3 linked regions of the Arabidopsis thaliana genome follow. The protein of the gene in region 2 interacts with the protein of the main gene of each other region in a pairwise test. Each region holds a gene or a part of one and is shown on either strand. Other genes may lie near its edges.

Evidence for each region.
Region 1: the proteins of AT4G31430 (region 2) and AT1G21140 interact in a two-hybrid assay, tested with the Arabidopsis thaliana proteins (one large-scale study listed by BioGRID).
Region 3: the proteins of AT4G31430 (region 2) and RPS10B interact in a two-hybrid assay, tested with the Arabidopsis thaliana proteins (one large-scale study listed by BioGRID).

The regions. Positions count from the first base shown.
Region 1 is NC_003070.9:7,402,310-7,406,419, forward strand, and holds AT1G21140 (Vacuolar iron transporter (VIT) family protein), read left to right. Parts: upstream 1-2,018; 5' UTR 2,019-2,154; coding exon 2,155-2,757; 3' UTR 2,758-3,117; downstream 3,118-4,110. Other genes in the region: AT1G21150 (Mitochondrial transcription termination factor family protein), read right to left, coding at 4,097-4,110. UniProt on the Arabidopsis thaliana protein: Vacuolar iron transporter involved in the transfer of iron ions from the cytosol to the vacuole for intracellular iron storage. Involved in regulation of cellular iron homeostasis. Vacuolar iron storage is required for seed embryo and seedling development.
Region 2 is NC_003075.7:15,246,300-15,253,367, reverse strand, and holds AT4G31430 (flocculation protein), read right to left. Parts: upstream 4,992-7,068; 5' UTR 4,859-4,991; coding exon 4,588-4,858; intron 4,254-4,587; coding exon 4,201-4,253; intron 4,052-4,200; coding exon 3,963-4,051; intron 3,800-3,962; coding exon 3,693-3,799; intron 3,614-3,692; coding exon 3,522-3,613; intron 3,088-3,521; coding exon 2,917-3,087; intron 2,660-2,916; coding exon 2,470-2,659; intron 2,376-2,469; coding exon 2,311-2,375; intron 2,208-2,310; coding exon 2,153-2,207; intron 2,063-2,152; coding exon 1,984-2,062; intron 1,874-1,983; coding exon 1,794-1,873; intron 1,714-1,793; coding exon 1,575-1,713; intron 1,498-1,574; coding exon 1,164-1,497; 3' UTR 809-1,163; downstream 1-808. Other genes in the region: AT4G31420 (Zinc finger protein 622), read left to right, coding at 5,605-5,709, 5,980-6,546, 6,638-6,807, 6,910-7,068.
Region 3 is NC_003076.8:16,608,021-16,612,460, forward strand, and holds RPS10B (RNA binding Plectin/S10 domain-containing protein), read right to left. Parts: upstream 2,673-4,440; 5' UTR 2,564-2,672; coding exon 2,561-2,563; intron 2,448-2,560; coding exon 2,399-2,447; intron 2,270-2,398; coding exon 1,990-2,269; intron 1,894-1,989; coding exon 1,767-1,893; intron 1,441-1,766; coding exon 1,357-1,440; 3' UTR 1,001-1,356; downstream 1-1,000. Other genes in the region: AT5G41510 (F-box and associated interaction domains-containing protein), read left to right, coding at 1-306; AT5G41530 (uncharacterized protein), read left to right, coding at 3,640-4,068.

The sequences.
Region 1 (4,110 bases), on a different chromosome or scaffold from region 2:
TTTAGTAATTTCGACTAATGTCTTCATTGTCTATTTATTTCGGACTGTCCATTATATGAATGCAGTGTGTGAATCATAGGGAAAAAAAACCAAAAAGAATTACCTTATAGTTAGTATGCGCTATATAAATTGTAAATTCTGGAATGTTAATAATGTGCTGGCATATATGTACGTAGGCGACTACGTATGCATGCATATACATGAAGAAACATAATACGTAGATGTCTACGTATGTGTGTTAGTGTGTGTGCAAACAAGTGACGATGATGGTGAAATGTGGTGCTATTCGTGTGGAAACCACACTCGTCCCTCTTTCTTTAATATTATTATGATCTCTCTCTATTATTTTATCTCACCATAAATCTATCTCTAAGTGCTTTCCAATTCACCAATCCATCAAAAAATTTATTTTTTTTTATTTATATAACCAAAAAAAACCCTAGCTTTTATGTGTAATGTGTTCATTATCTACTATTAATTTGTTGTTTATGATTTTCACTTGTATACGGCTCTAATTGCGCTGGATCAAAGAATCTATAGTGTGAAAAGTATCTGATTCAATTTTGATCCCCTTCATATATAAGATAGTTGGATTCTACTATTTCATATTTTAATCGTCCATTATGTGTCCGTTTATCAACAAGGAGCTGTATTAACTAATCCATGTTTTTTGACCTATTTTTTCTTCCTAATTAATGAATCCCTCTTATTAAATTCAATGAAAAGAAGATGTAGAATATGATTACACTTATCAAACAATTCCAAAATATAACAGTGTCTTATCAATAAATAGATTATCCGTTGATCACTTTTGGTCAAACTCTAAGAAAATCCAGAGATCCAAACACTATGTGTGATTGATTCGCCCCCCTTCTGTTTTGGGATTGTTTCTTTGTCGAGAAAAAAGGTATAATTAACCAACAAAAATAAACAGAAAGTAAAAGAATGAGATTGTTGTTTCATTTTTATTTACTAGAAAAATGCTTTCACAGTTTACGTGTTCTAAAATTAAGGGGATAGGATAAAATAAATATGACATATACGCTACTGATTTGTTTCAAGTTATGTAAAAGAAAAAAAGACAAAATTTGACACTTTGAGAAAGCTTTTGATATATTATTCCAAGTTACGTTTCTTCTAAAAAATGTAACTACCAACCACACTCCGATCAAAAAGTTCATTTTTTCAAAGAAAAATACAATGTACATGAATACGAAGACGTTCCTGAAGATTTCTTTTCCCAATTGATTATTCAAGAAAGTAGATTAAAGCATTTGCCAAATTTGAATATGGTGTTCTCTAGTCAATATAGTAGTACAGCTGCCAAAAGGAATGTTAATTTGGTAACTTGGTAATAAAAGTAAAACCAAGAAAACTAAAGTATTATATGTTTATAATAAACTTTTGGCCAACACATTTCGTGTAACATTAGGTAATCGTTTGGGAGGTTGAGATTTCATTTTTATATATTAATTTTGTATAATTTTTTGCCAAGAAGACATATATGCATATTATGGCTTTGATCTTGACGACGACTTAACAACTCCATAGTGTAAGTATGTAACTGCATGCCCCTTTCGGTCTCTCAAATTGATATTTGTTTTTTGTCCTTCACGAATCAAATGAAATGAAAAAGACACATAAATGTATACTTTCACATTTCCTTTCTTCTTATATTTGATTATTTGTAACTTTTTTTTTGAAAAGTATTAAGTTCCTTTTGAATTTAATTCAATTGAGATCCATTTTTGGGGGTACAGTTATACCAATCGTTGTGCTTTATCTTTACCGATGGTACGCGGCAATCAACTTTTTTTTTTTTCCTTCTAAAGTTCATTTGTTCGTTTCAAACTTATAATCATAGTGTAAAAACGATTAGATGTTTGTTAATTCGATTTCCTAATCTAAATTTTTGAAAAAGACAGAATAAAAAGTATTTCCGTTAGTGGTGATGATGCTCCCCATATATTAATCGTCGACTCCACCACATAAATTATTTTAAAAAGTTAAATAAAAAAAGCTAAAAACTCACACAATCTCTCCATAAATAGAACCTAGGCGTGTGTTCTCCACACTTCACCTATATTCTCTACCTTCTTATTTCAGCACAAACCAAAAACATAAAGACAGAAAGCCAACCCAAAAGACTTTACCATGGAATCACACAACGTGAGCAACAGCTTGAACCTAGACATGGAGATGGATCAAGAAAAGGCTTTCGACTACTCCAAAAGAGCTCAATGGCTAAGAGCCGCCGTGCTTGGTGCCAACGACGGTCTTGTCTCGACGGCTTCACTTATGATGGGTGTCGGTGCGGTAAAGCAAGACGTCAAAGTCATGATCTTATCTGGTTTCGCCGGTTTGGTCGCCGGAGCTTGTAGCATGGCTATCGGAGAGTTTGTCTCCGTTTACTCTCAGTACGACATCGAGGTGGCTCAAATGAAGAGAGAGAACGGAGGACAAGTGGAGAAAGAGAAGCTTCCGAGTCCCATGCAAGCGGCTGCCGCGTCTGCGTTAGCGTTTTCTTTGGGTGCGATTGTGCCTTTAATGGCGGCTGCGTTTGTGAAAGACTATCACGTGAGAATAGGAGCGATCGTGGCGGCGGTGACATTGGCGTTAGTGATGTTTGGGTGGTTAGGAGCGGTTTTGGGGAAAGCACCGGTGTTTAAGTCGTCGGCTAGGGTTTTGATTGGAGGATGGTTAGCTATGGCCGTTACTTTTGGTTTGACAAAACTGATTGGGACACATAGTCTGTGATATGTTTCTGTTTACTTACATACGTGAGTAACGTGAGTAAACTCTTCTTCATGCTTCACGCTTCATGCAACACAATTTAAGCGGTTACGTTTTTTTTTTTTTTTTTATAGATAAGAAAGTGTGGAAAGGCCACTTGTGGTGACTTGTTTTATTTCGTGGGAATTTGATAGTAATGGGATCTCTTTGTAAGCAAATGTGTTAATATAAATTCTGTCAACTGGAGTTTTCCCCAATAATGATAATTGAGACTTGAGAGTCTTGTAACACTTATGGCTTTAAGCCTTTAACCATGATTGGGCAAAGTAATATCCATAAAAAATGCATACATGTGTATTTCTATAAAAAAATGAATATAAAAATATGAAATGTATATCTATTAATCATTAAATATGTTCTTATTCAATTTTATTTCTTATAACATTTTTAAGGTAATATGTTTAGTTTTAATAATATTTATGGAGTGAATACGATATTCAATCAAATTTTCTGGATATGTAAAACTAAGAAGCAAAAACATAAATTTGACTTTTGTAATGAATATCTAAACCTCCAAGATAGATTAAAAATCAGAAAGAAAATCAAATATGAAAAAATGGAGCGGATCACATATATACTACACCACTAGTGTTTCAAATTTTTTTGGCTGAAAAAATCGGAGACAAAATTTTACCAATTTGTGTCAACAATTATATATTTTTTAAACTGATCACATAAACGAAATTTGTTTTAAGAGAGTAATTAGCTTAACTCAATAGACTAAACTCTAAAAATATGCAACTAATCGGCCAAATTAATCCACCAAAATACCACTGAATTTTGGTAGTTAGAACCTGTTAGAAATTATAACAAAGTAATCCCCAACTAGAGCCTACCTATATTTATCCATTTCGTTCCAAACAAAGATATCAACACCACACAAATCCTTTACACAAAGATTGATCGCGTTGGAGTGTACAAATGCTCTCGTCATGACAAATCAATGATCTCCGAAAAAAACATAAAAAGAGAGCTACTTTTGGAATCCTTGTCGTGTTCCGTTTTATAAAGCTAAATTTAATGCCTACTTTTGCACCAGATTGCGTGTTAACTCTCACATCCTCGTAGAAAGGATAATGCAACATGTGAGCTTTATCTATGAAAACATTATAGTATCATCATCATAGATATTTCTTTGTACAAAATAAACAGAATCAACAAAATTACCATAACCATAAACAGAATCAGCTAAATCATTTTATGATGTCAAATTAAATGTCACAAAATTCATCAAAACATGATCGGAGTCGGCAAGGTTCAGCCGCAACCAAGAGTGTGTTCTCACTTCTCTAATAGAACAAACTCATCGATTACTTG
Region 2 (7,068 bases):
AGCGAGTAAGAAGACGAAACTGAATCAGAGCAGAAAAACCCCGCATTTTTTGTTTCACGCCCAATTCGGAAGCTAAGAACTTTGAGAATTCCCGAAATTTGAGTTGGAGCAAATCGAGATCAGTTGAGTTGAACAAATGATTGGAGCTTTGAGAACAGAGCAACAGATTCGAATTGCCTAAAGAATGATGAAATTCGAATTGAAGAAGGAGGAAGCGGGCAATGAGAAGCGGGACCCAAGCTTGTAAGCAGAAGAACAAGTGTTGGAAGATTTGACCAGAAAGAATTCAGACAAAAGAAAAATCGGAACAAAACAAGTAACTTCCGAGTTCCGACACCAACCCAATGATTTCTCGGCTTCTTAATAATACACTTCTGCTTCGATTGAATCTTCGTGGCTTCTTCTTTCGTATGGCTTTTCAGATTTGAATGTCTGAGCGCTTTCGCTCTTCTGTGTTTATTTTAGCTTCGATCGCTGCTTATTGGGTTTTTGTTGTTCGTTTTTCTTCACTTTTGTTTCTGTCTGTTTTGTTTTTTCTCTCTCTCTTTCTGTCTGTCTTGATAAAATTGGTTATTGGGTTTCTTCTTTTCGCTCGTTATTGCTTTTGTACTTTGGTAAGAGATTGTGTAACACTAGATTGAACCCATTTGATTATATTCATCTTACAATGTTTTGATCTGAGTGATCTCATCTAATATTGGATCATGTCAGAATTTGTTTACTTGACACTTTACGAGGTTAAAAGATGAGTGGTGTTAGTACTTGAGATTTCCCCCAAAAAAATTAGGTGTTGGCTTTTTGGTCAAGTAAAAAAGATTTAAAAATTTGGCATCGAACAAAAGAAAAAGAGTTTCAACATATGGAAACTGCAAACTACAAAGCTTCGTCAGCTGGAACGAAACCAAGCTTCAAACTTACAACATTAAACATTAGAGATTTCAGACAAATGAAAGAAACAACAGAGACACAATTCCACATAACTCGACAAGACAAATCCTCCTAACTCAAATACTACAAGATAACCTAAAAAGATAACGAAGTGACCAAAGACCAAACACAAACAGAGTGGGATTCAAATCTAAAAGAGATGTCACATAATCCTACCTCATCATAATACTCTCCTACTGCATTGTGTTTGTTGTGTACAGCTCATCTTACAAAGTTTATTTGGCCCGTCCTTTGCCTCGACCTCCTCTGCCTCTTCCTCTACCTCGGCCTCTTCCTCTTCTGCTGTATGCCAAGACCTTGGTATTTCCCGGGCTGCTACTTGCTGAGTTTGAGTTAGGTAGAGACTGGTCTCCTGGGAGCCACTCTTCTTCATGGGTGCTTGAACTGTTAGAGGCACTTGAGTGGCTGTCATTGCTTTCGTTATTAATTGCACCATCTGAGCCATTCCCTACTGTCATATCATCACCATGAATTTCAGCTATAGGCTGAGAAGCCTTGGTTTCTTCTGGTGGTGTGGGTTTTGGTTGACCTTCCATAACCGCTGGTGAACTGAAAAAGTAAGGCTTTGCTTAGGAGGAAATAATGTCATCATGTCAAACTAGCCAGACAAAGGAGTTGCTTTTCACCTAGGTGATGAAGATGGGAAACCGTTAGAAGTATGACGTGATGCGCCTATTTCATCAGCTTCTTTTGATGTTTCAAACACATCTTTAGGGATGCAAGAGTTCCCAGTAGGATCCAAAGTTGCCCCAAGAGCCAAGACAGCTGCATCAATAGGAGCGCAAGTAAATTAAGAGAACCCAACTAAAAATCAGAACCAAAGGAATTCAACATCCAATGTATACCATTTGTGGTGTTTCCGATAGTAGAAGTAGGTTGGATAAAATCGCCATCTTGATCATTGAAGTCATCTACAGCAGTTCCACTGTCGCATACAGTTGAAAAACTTCAGAAGATTGATATACTAAAAAACATATCTGTCAAAAAGAAACAAGGTACAATCTGTGTTGGAAGGATAAGCACAATAAAAAGAACCTTTGAGGAGCGGTATTCGTATCTTCAGATGGCTTGACTCCTTGTGTGGAGATAAATGTCTCCTCCAAACCAACTCCACCTAATCAGAACACATTAAATCCATGAGACAGAGTATAAAAAGCGAAGATGAGAGAGTGTATACAAATTAAGGATTAAGGGAGAAACTAACGAGATCTAGTGTGTAAAACTCCTGTTTCTTTGACGGCTTGATTAGCTTCCGTAGTCTTCACTCAAGTAAAACACACAAGGACACCAAAACAAGAAAGATTGGAACTGCAAGTTTTTTCTTGGTAATGAGAGACACATAGTGTAAAGAGTGCTTGATACCTGATTGTGCTCAGAGGTAGGTATGGCTGAATTTGGTAGAGCTCTGCTTTGTTCATTCCGTACAGCTGAAAGAACAGAAAAGAAGAGTTAATTTCAGTTTCAACTCATGTCTTACTGAAAAACTTCTTCCACGTGTGAATAAAGAAAGAAAAAAAACACCTCCATCAGCATTCAAAGACGAAGCATTTCCTTTGAGCATATCAGTCGCTAAAACATAGGGGCTGTATTTAGGTTCCAAAGAGGCTACACTACTGGGACTTTTAAGCATTTCCTCGGTTGCTTTAGCTCTGACTTTGCGAATTTCATCTTGAATATTCCATGACTGATTAGAACCGGACTTCCTTTTCAGCTGCATTTGGTAACCAATGTCAGAATGAATAAGGGTAAATTTGAGAGAGCCATTGAAAATACATATAACGGTATGCAACTTTTCTTTAGGAATAGCTGGAAATAGTGTCCCACAAATTCCTCGTGGTTATCTAACATAAACAATAGAAGTTAAGCAGAGAATTTTATCTCATAAACCAAGATGAAACGACTTCAGACTTTCAAACAACATTTGACCAAAAGAAAAGTATGCACTGCTGGAGAACTTAAAATTCTAACCTTGGATGAGGAAAAGTTTCCAGCGCTATAAGGAAGGGGTGTCCCTTGCACTCTTGCTGATGATGGTGATCGAAAATCTAAATTATTCGCAGCTGGAGATCCCCATGGCAGACGAGCTCGCATATAAGACTTGGCCACGTCCACAGGCGATCCAGCACCATCTTCAGTTGCCTGGAGATTTAAACTAATGGCTGAGATGGTGATCATCATTTAAAGTACAATGGAAAAAGAATACTGTGAAGCGAAGCTATCAGAAGTTGACCAAAATCATGTAAGTAAATGGTCTTCATAGTCAAAAGAAGAGCAACAATATGGATCTTTTGCATTTTAAGCGGACAAAAAGGTATTTCCCAATCAGGACATTTCAGAATTAACGTCACCAGATGGCCACACGCAGAATTCTGAACAACCTACTTTTGCAAGAGAGCTTTAAGTTGCTGATCACATGGATTGGCATATAACAATCAAATCATTTTACCCAAACAGAAGATGTCTCCTTCTATAATAATAATGGCTTAGAGCACGGAGACAAGATATCACAAAAAAGTTGATACCTGCAGGCTGCAGCAATTAGAACAGTTAAGAAGCAAGTTTCCAGAACTTACTTTATACTTTGAACTTGATCCTGATTTCTTCTCCTCCAACCATTTTCTTGCTTCCATGACAGCTGTATTGGACATTTCACCCACATTCACGTCTAGAAATAAAATAGAAAAGAAGACGTTATCACATAGACTAATCCGGTCTACTTGCACAGTCTACCATCAGTAACATACCGCTTGTCAATCCATAGTCATCATGACTCGTCTCAATAGCAGAGGGGACGCTGGGATGATCTACAACCCTAGCCTTGATGATATCTATTAACCTATCACCCTCTTCCCTGAAACAACATACACATGAATGAATAAGCAGGATACAAGATCAGCTTAGATTTGGTAACTACACACGTCTCAGAAAGATTCTTTAAGCTATGAGGTGTAAATAATAAGAATAGTCGAGGAGGCTGCTACTTATGATGTCCAAAAAGCCAGGCAGAGAAATACCTTGCAAATGTTTCTTGCAAGAGAAGCTGCTCAATTACACGCTTAGAACTGAGTCGTTGAATGCTTGGTTGCTGGGCACTCAGAAGGTCCTATTCACACAAGCACAAAAACTGAAATTATGCTTTTATAAAAAAAACTCTCAGTTGAAAACGTGTTAGCTTCACGAACTTTACTTCAAACAATTATCATAGGACTACAGTGGCATAGCAATCACCAAAACGAACAAGGTGGTTAGTACCTCTTCAGTAAAATCGGGATTGTTCTTCTCAACATCCTCATCACCATCAATATCTGCAAACAAAGAAGAAAACATATAAAAATCCATACATTAAAAGAATAAGACACAACAAAGCTGGTTGGTATTCTCAATCCCAGAACTACATTATATGAATAAAAATTAGAGCTTTAGAATTAGTATGAAGTTTATAGCTTAGAAGTAACCTAACTAAATAGAGTACAACAATGCTTAACTGCTCTTAAGTCCCACATATTAAAGGAAAGAGAAAATGGGAAAGCTTTAAGTCAAACTTCACATTTCAAACGAAACGGTAGCTTTCAGATTCGACCAGACAATAAACCAAAAATTCAAATTAATCCTATCTAAACTGAAATAAATGGTACAAACCTGAAGATGAATCCTCGTCCTCCTCCGAAGATGAGGAAGAGTCGGAGAAGACGACGGAAGAAATGAATTTTCCGGCGCCGGAAGCAATTACGCTGGCGGGTTTGTAAACGAGCCTGGAGATCCAACTAGGGTTTTGCTGAGGAGGATCTCGGGATCTCTGAACGGGGCGCTCACACGGCGTCCTGACAACAGCGGTGCGTCGTGGTCGAACAATTTTCCCACCGACTCGAGGCTGACCTGCTCCGGCGGCGTAACCGGAGACGGAATCCATGGTGAAAGTGAGAGGAGGAGGGAGAAGTTCGTTGTAGGAAATAATGAAAGTGTTGAGGAAAAATTGGTAATTTCTCGTTATTTGTCGTCTTCTTGTTTTTTTTTTTAATTGGGGGTGAATAGTTAGTTTCCTAAATTACAGGCCTGCGGTTAAAATTTCTTCCACTAATAAAATTAGGCAAAAACAAAACATTGCGATTAAAAAAAATTAATCGTAGTAAAATCATGTATTATATTCTTCTCTTTTCATATTTTGAACATATCACATGATGTTTAGATCTTATAAATGCAGTAATTTAATAGAGAGATTAGAATTTGGAAGAAAAAAAAGTTACATGATTAAACGAAGTAATTAATCAAGTTGTAAGTAGTTATTTTAAAAACAATATTAGAAAAATGTTTTTTGGTTACTCATACAGTAATACTTAATTCGTCAACTGTGTCAGTGTTACAAAAAGGCTAAAAGAATGGGCCAAATGGGCTACTCTTGTATCGGGTCAGGAACGGGTCAGTTCCAACCCGATCGGATCTAAAATGGGCGGGGCGCCTTCCTTTTCATTTTGATGGCAATCAATCATCATCAATCGACGCTTTTTTAGAGACAAACACGATCGCCGATCCATTTACGAGCCGTCGTTGCTCTACACATATCAACAACAAATCTTATCCTCCCAACTATCTTTTCTCTGATTTTCTTTTCTTCTCCAGTTTCCATTTCTAGAATCGATCGATATTGAAGGAGAGAAGATGCCTGGTTTAACATGTAACGCGTGTAACATGGAGTTCAAGGACGAAGAAGAACGTAACCTTCATTACAAATCCGATTGGCACCGCTACAATCTCAAGCGCAAGGTTTCATTTCTTCTGCTTTCTCTATCGAATTTGAACTCAAGCCTATCTGTTTCTCGGGAAAATCTTGCGTCGGTGATGAGATGAAAGTTTCTGAGAAACAGCTTTTCCATTTTGCTATCGAAATTGTTTAGTTAAGGTTATGGAATCGTAGAGTTTATATGAAAATTTGTTTTGAAGCTTATTCTACTAAGGAACAAGGATTTCAATAATCATAGATTTGGTTACTTCTAGGCATTTGAATCTTTGTATTTCTGTAATTTTTTATGTTAGGTGGCTGGAGTTCCTGGAGTTACAGAAGCCTTGTTTGAGGCTAGACAATCTGCTCTTGCTCAGGAGAAGAATAAATCAAATGAAGCACCTATGCTTTATACTTGTGCAATCTGTGCTAAAGGTTACAGGAGTTCCAAGGCTCATGAGCAGCATCTTCAGTCGCGTAGCCATGTTTTGCGGGTTTCACAAGGGACATCAATCAACGGAGAGGAGGATATAGCGATTATCAGGCAACTTCCTCGCCGTGTTCAACACAGGGGTTCCATTGATGATGATAGTGAAGATGAATGGGTGGAGGTTGATTCTGACGAGGAATTGGCTGCTGAAGAAGCCTCTGATTCTTTGTCTAAGTTGAATGTGAATGAGTCTGGATCTGCTGAAGATATGGATGATGATGGTGATGCAGATAAGTATGAGCTGGATCCAACCTGCTGTTTGATGTGTGACAAAAAACATAAGACCTTAGAGAGCTGTATGCTTCACATGCATAAGCATCATGGTTTCTTTATTCCCGATATTGAGTATCTCAAGGATCCTGAAGGGCTTCTCACTTACCTTGGTCTTAAGGTTTGGACTCATCAATTTACCATTCAGTGTTCGTTGTTGTCAAGCTTTGAAATTCTTACTCCTGTTTACTTATACATTGCTCATCATTTAGGTCAAGAGAGACTTCATGTGTCTGTACTGCAATGAGCTGTGCCGTCCATTCAGCAGCTTAGAAGCTGTAAGAAAACATATGGAAGCAAAGAGTCATTGCAAACTGCATTATGGTGATGGTGATGATGAAGAAGATGCTGAGCTAGAAGAGTTTTATGACTACAGCAGCAGGTTTCAACTCTCTTCTATCTCTGATTATTCTTGTTCTCGCCTGTATTCCTCGTTCTATGCCAAATCTTAATCCGCACCTTTCTTTGGAATATATGAATTGAGCAGCTATGTTGATGAAGCTGGAAAGCAAATTGTTGTATCTGGTGAAACAGACAATACTGTAGAACTCGTTGGTGGTTCTGAGCTCTTGATCACGGAGAAGTCCGAGAACACAACAACGTCTAAAACTCTCGGGTCCCGTGAATTCATGCGTTACTACAG
Region 3 (4,440 bases), on a different chromosome or scaffold from region 2:
TTCTTGAGAATGGATATGAGACCTAAGATGGAGCTTCCACTTACTTTCTACATTGACGAAGAGAAGAAAGTTTTCATGGGATTTGATCATGGAGAATATCCCAAGTTATTATTTCTTAACGTCGTTGGAGAGACTGGATTCTTAAGAAAATTCGAGAATATCCAATACCGTTCGCCATGCTCTTATGTTCCAAGTTTGGTCCAAGTCAAGAAACTTGCACGAGACAGACTGAGAAAACAACGTAGTTTAGAAAACCGTCGATTTGCTCAAAACATTTTGAGACTTGCGCGCAATGGAAAAAGCTAATCAATATCAGTTATTGATATTGGTAGGAGGATGTGCAAAACCGAGTAAACGGGATGATTAGGCGCAAAATTGAGATTGGTTTCTAAGTTATAGCATTTAATGTAGCTAGTACCTCAACATTTTATTTTTTTATTTTTTTCTATTTACATTCTTAGCAATATCAGTAACATGAGAGCATGTCGATCTCATCTATTTCAGGATGTTTCAACAAAATTAAACATATTTTCAAGCCATTTGAACAGCATTAAACAAATAAGTTTGGTTATGTGATTTGAGTAGTTGTACGAGAGAATGTTTATAATTCAATGAAAGAGGTTCGCAAACAATGAAATAAGCAAGTGCAAGAGCACAAAAGAGTTAACACACGACAATTTAACAAGATACTAATGAGTAACTAATAGTCAAAGAGTTCATAAGATGATTTTAGGCAAGACTTCATTGCAGGAATGGATACGGAAGCTAACTTATTTCCAATTATTTTCTTCATTGATACTTAAGAATTTTGGATCTCAGAGTATCTGAAGGCCAATTCTATCGACCAAGTTTGGTCCAAATCAAGAAACCTACGCTGAGGCAAAAGGATGAAACAAAGTAGTTTAGAATAGCATTATTGATCTGCTCATTTGAATGTAAACGTAAAAAAGAAACCCAACAGCATCATCATTTGAAAAGAAACCATACGTATGATGATGCTGTTGGGTTTCTCTTTTACGTTGTTTTGTGCATATGAGTGTAAAATTTCAACATCTAGATTTCAGTAATATCGATATTTTTCATGATTATTCATACAACAGTTTTAACAGAACTTTATATATACACGTCACTTGTAAGCTGCGAAAAAAAACTAAATAGGAGAATTTAAAATGGAGGACAGTGTAAAAAGATTCATGTAACGATCCAACATTTCTTCATAAAATTCTAACGTAAAAAACAATCATATTGTGAGATGGTTTTAGAGAAAGAAACAAAGTTCCAAAAGACACATTCGTTCTCAAATCAAAGGTACTATGTAACCTTAAATAAGACCAAAAAGAAACAAGAAAGTCCTTTTCAAGGAAGATCAGATCCAGCAGCACCACCACCGAAACCACCAGCTCCACGACCAAACCCTTGCCTAGCTCCACCAGCTCCACCCTGTACATAACCAAAACATTTAATTACACACCAACATAATTGCATTGCATTCTAGCAATCATGAAACCACCATTACTCATGATAGAAAGACCTAGTGGCAGAGCATCGAATATTTAGGGAAGCCAAGTGCACAACAGATTAAAGCAAAGCAATTTACACAAGGTGCTTATCAGACAGAGTTCATAAAATGATTTAGGGAACCTAAGAACACAACATGTTGTTGAAAGATAGTGGCTTCAGAAGTTTCCTCAAAATTAAGCATGATACTAATGCGTAACAAATAAAAGTGTTCACAAGAGTTTGACAAGAAAGGAGAGATTTGGTACCCTGAAGCCAGGCTGGTAATCAGCAGGTGCTCCAGCCTTGTCACCATACTCTCCACCTGATTTAGGACCTCCACGGTATCCATCTCTGTCACCAAACCTCCTCTCTCCATCACCACGAGGAGGGCCACTGTATAAAACCAAATCAACACCGTCACATATCAACACTTAACAAGTAACCATGATACAATAACAAGACTGAGAATTGAAGATTCAAATTGATTACCGGGGACGGTCACCACCACCTCCAAAAGGTCGACCAAGAGGCTTCTGTTGCTTCTTCAAAGTAGCAGGAACAATCTCAGATGGGAGATTAAGGTAAGTCCTGAGAAAGTCAATACCTTCATTTGTGAGGAACCAGTAGTAATGCATCCAAGCAAAGGTCTCTCTCACATATTCCTTAGATTTGAAACTCTGCATCAACTTGATAACTTGCAGATTTGGAACACTCTCAATCAAAGGATGTTGTGGTAAGTTGAAATCCTTTTTAGCAAACAAAACACCCTCTGCACACAAAAAGAACCAATTCCAACCATTTCTAAGTACAATTCTCTTGAATCAACCAATCAATCATCATGCATAAACCCATTAACGTAGAAGACAACTAGATTCATAAGCTCAAATCAAAATGGTACCTTTGAAGAGGTACTTGGAGATCTCACGGCGGTTAGTCTCTGATATGATCTGCAAATACGAGAAACAAGATTAGCTTTTTTATATACAGTTTGAGTATACTCAGCATTTTGAAATCAGTATTTGATTCACGTAAGGAGTGATTTAGGGTTTAGAGATGTTACCATGATTGCGATGAGATTGAAGAAGGAGGCGATAGAGAAGGTGACTGCGTTTGTATGTGTTTTGCTTTAACTTCTTCTCCTAACGCGAAACCCTAATTTCGACTGAAGCCGCCACTTTTATAACATGTTTGTCTTAAGGGTTTATGTGTGTCCCTAATTGGGCCGATATAAAAAAATGTTAATGGGCTAACATGGCCCAATCTAATTTATTTTATACCCAAAGTTATTTAGCTTTAGTCTTTCATATATTAAATCAGGACATTTTCTACTTCAGTAATTTGTGAGAAATTTCATCAAGTAGACTGTAGACATAAAAATTGCTGTAAGAAAAAAAAAAGACTGTAGACATAAAAGATACAAGAAATTTCATATCACACGATTTACATATATAATTTCATACTTCTTGGTTTAAAGTTACAGTAATATATAATTCAAGGTAGAGTGCATTTTTCCAATTCAACGTTTGCTCTTCCCTCTCTCTGGTATTTGTTTAAAAACAGGTTCCTCACACTCTTCCCTCTCAATAGTGGCAGTTTTAGTTTTGGAACTTTTATTTCCCAAACGTTGCCAAGTTTGATTCTTTTGGTCCCTTGTCAAAATGGATAATGAGGGAAATGATTCCAGCAGCGACGACTCCTACACGGGTGGCTTTGAATTCCGACGTAGAAAAAAACGTCCGCATGAAGAAGCGTCCAAAATGCCAACGATCATAATATCAGACTTAGAATCAGAAACAGAATGTGCTTCCGAGGAGAGTATCGACAAGATCAAAACTGTGAGTGTGTATTCCTTCTCTTTCTCTTCTTTATGTAAGAACATCTCCAATGCCTAACTCTATTTTTTCCTTTATTTTAGAGATGATTCTATTTTAGAGAAAATATAGTTAATTTTGCTCCATTGTATTTTCAAAATAGAGTTAACTCTAAAATAGAGGAAAAGTGTAGAGATTGCTCTCTATATATAGAGTAAAAAATAAGACTACTCTATATTTTTCTCTATTTTAGAGTCATACATTGGAGCAAAATCAACTATATTTCTTCTAAAATAGAGTTAGGCATTGGAGATGGTCTAAAAGTTTGATGCTTTTTTACTTATACGTAACCCGATGTAAGCAGCTGTTGAATTACAATAATATGGAGACTGATAATGGTGACAAGGAGAAGAGTGAGGAAGATGACTTGTGTGCTCTGAAGGATGCACTTGAGGCTGTTATATTGTTTCAAGGTTTAAGTGAATATCAAAAGAAGTTGATGTTTCCAAACTTGAAGAATCTTGGAGCTGAAACAATTAAAGAGCTCATCGATGAATGGAAGGAGTTGAATGTTGAGGAGCTAAATTTGAACATCAAGAAACAAACTTTCTTTACAAAGTTTGCAAACGCTAGCTGGAGTTTGATGTTACTTATTCAACAAGAAAATAATTTCTGCTTTTGGATGTTTTATGTTATTCCTACTTCATTGTTTTTTGTGTGTTGTGTGTTGCTGCATCTTTTGAATGATGGATCCTAATAGAATGTGGGTTATTTTAAAAGTTTAATGGATGAGAACTTCACAGCTTTTGTTTTACTGTCTTTTATTTGTTGTGTTGGCTACTACAGTCAGTTTCACAGAAAAAGAGAAGTTATCCCAGAGTTACAATGGTTCTGAATAAGCCATCTATTGAATATAACAATGTTTCCTTATTAAATTACATTGAAATCAAACACGTAAAGATTTAAGAGAGGAGACAATTCAAAACGATTTGAATCTAGGATCACGTATTCCAATCTCTCTACAGATTTGGATAATCAGAAATATTCAAAGACACTAACAATCCGTAAATATAATGGAGGTTCTGTTTTGTTTCCCGGACCAAAAATCCTGTGACCTGTATGAAATTGT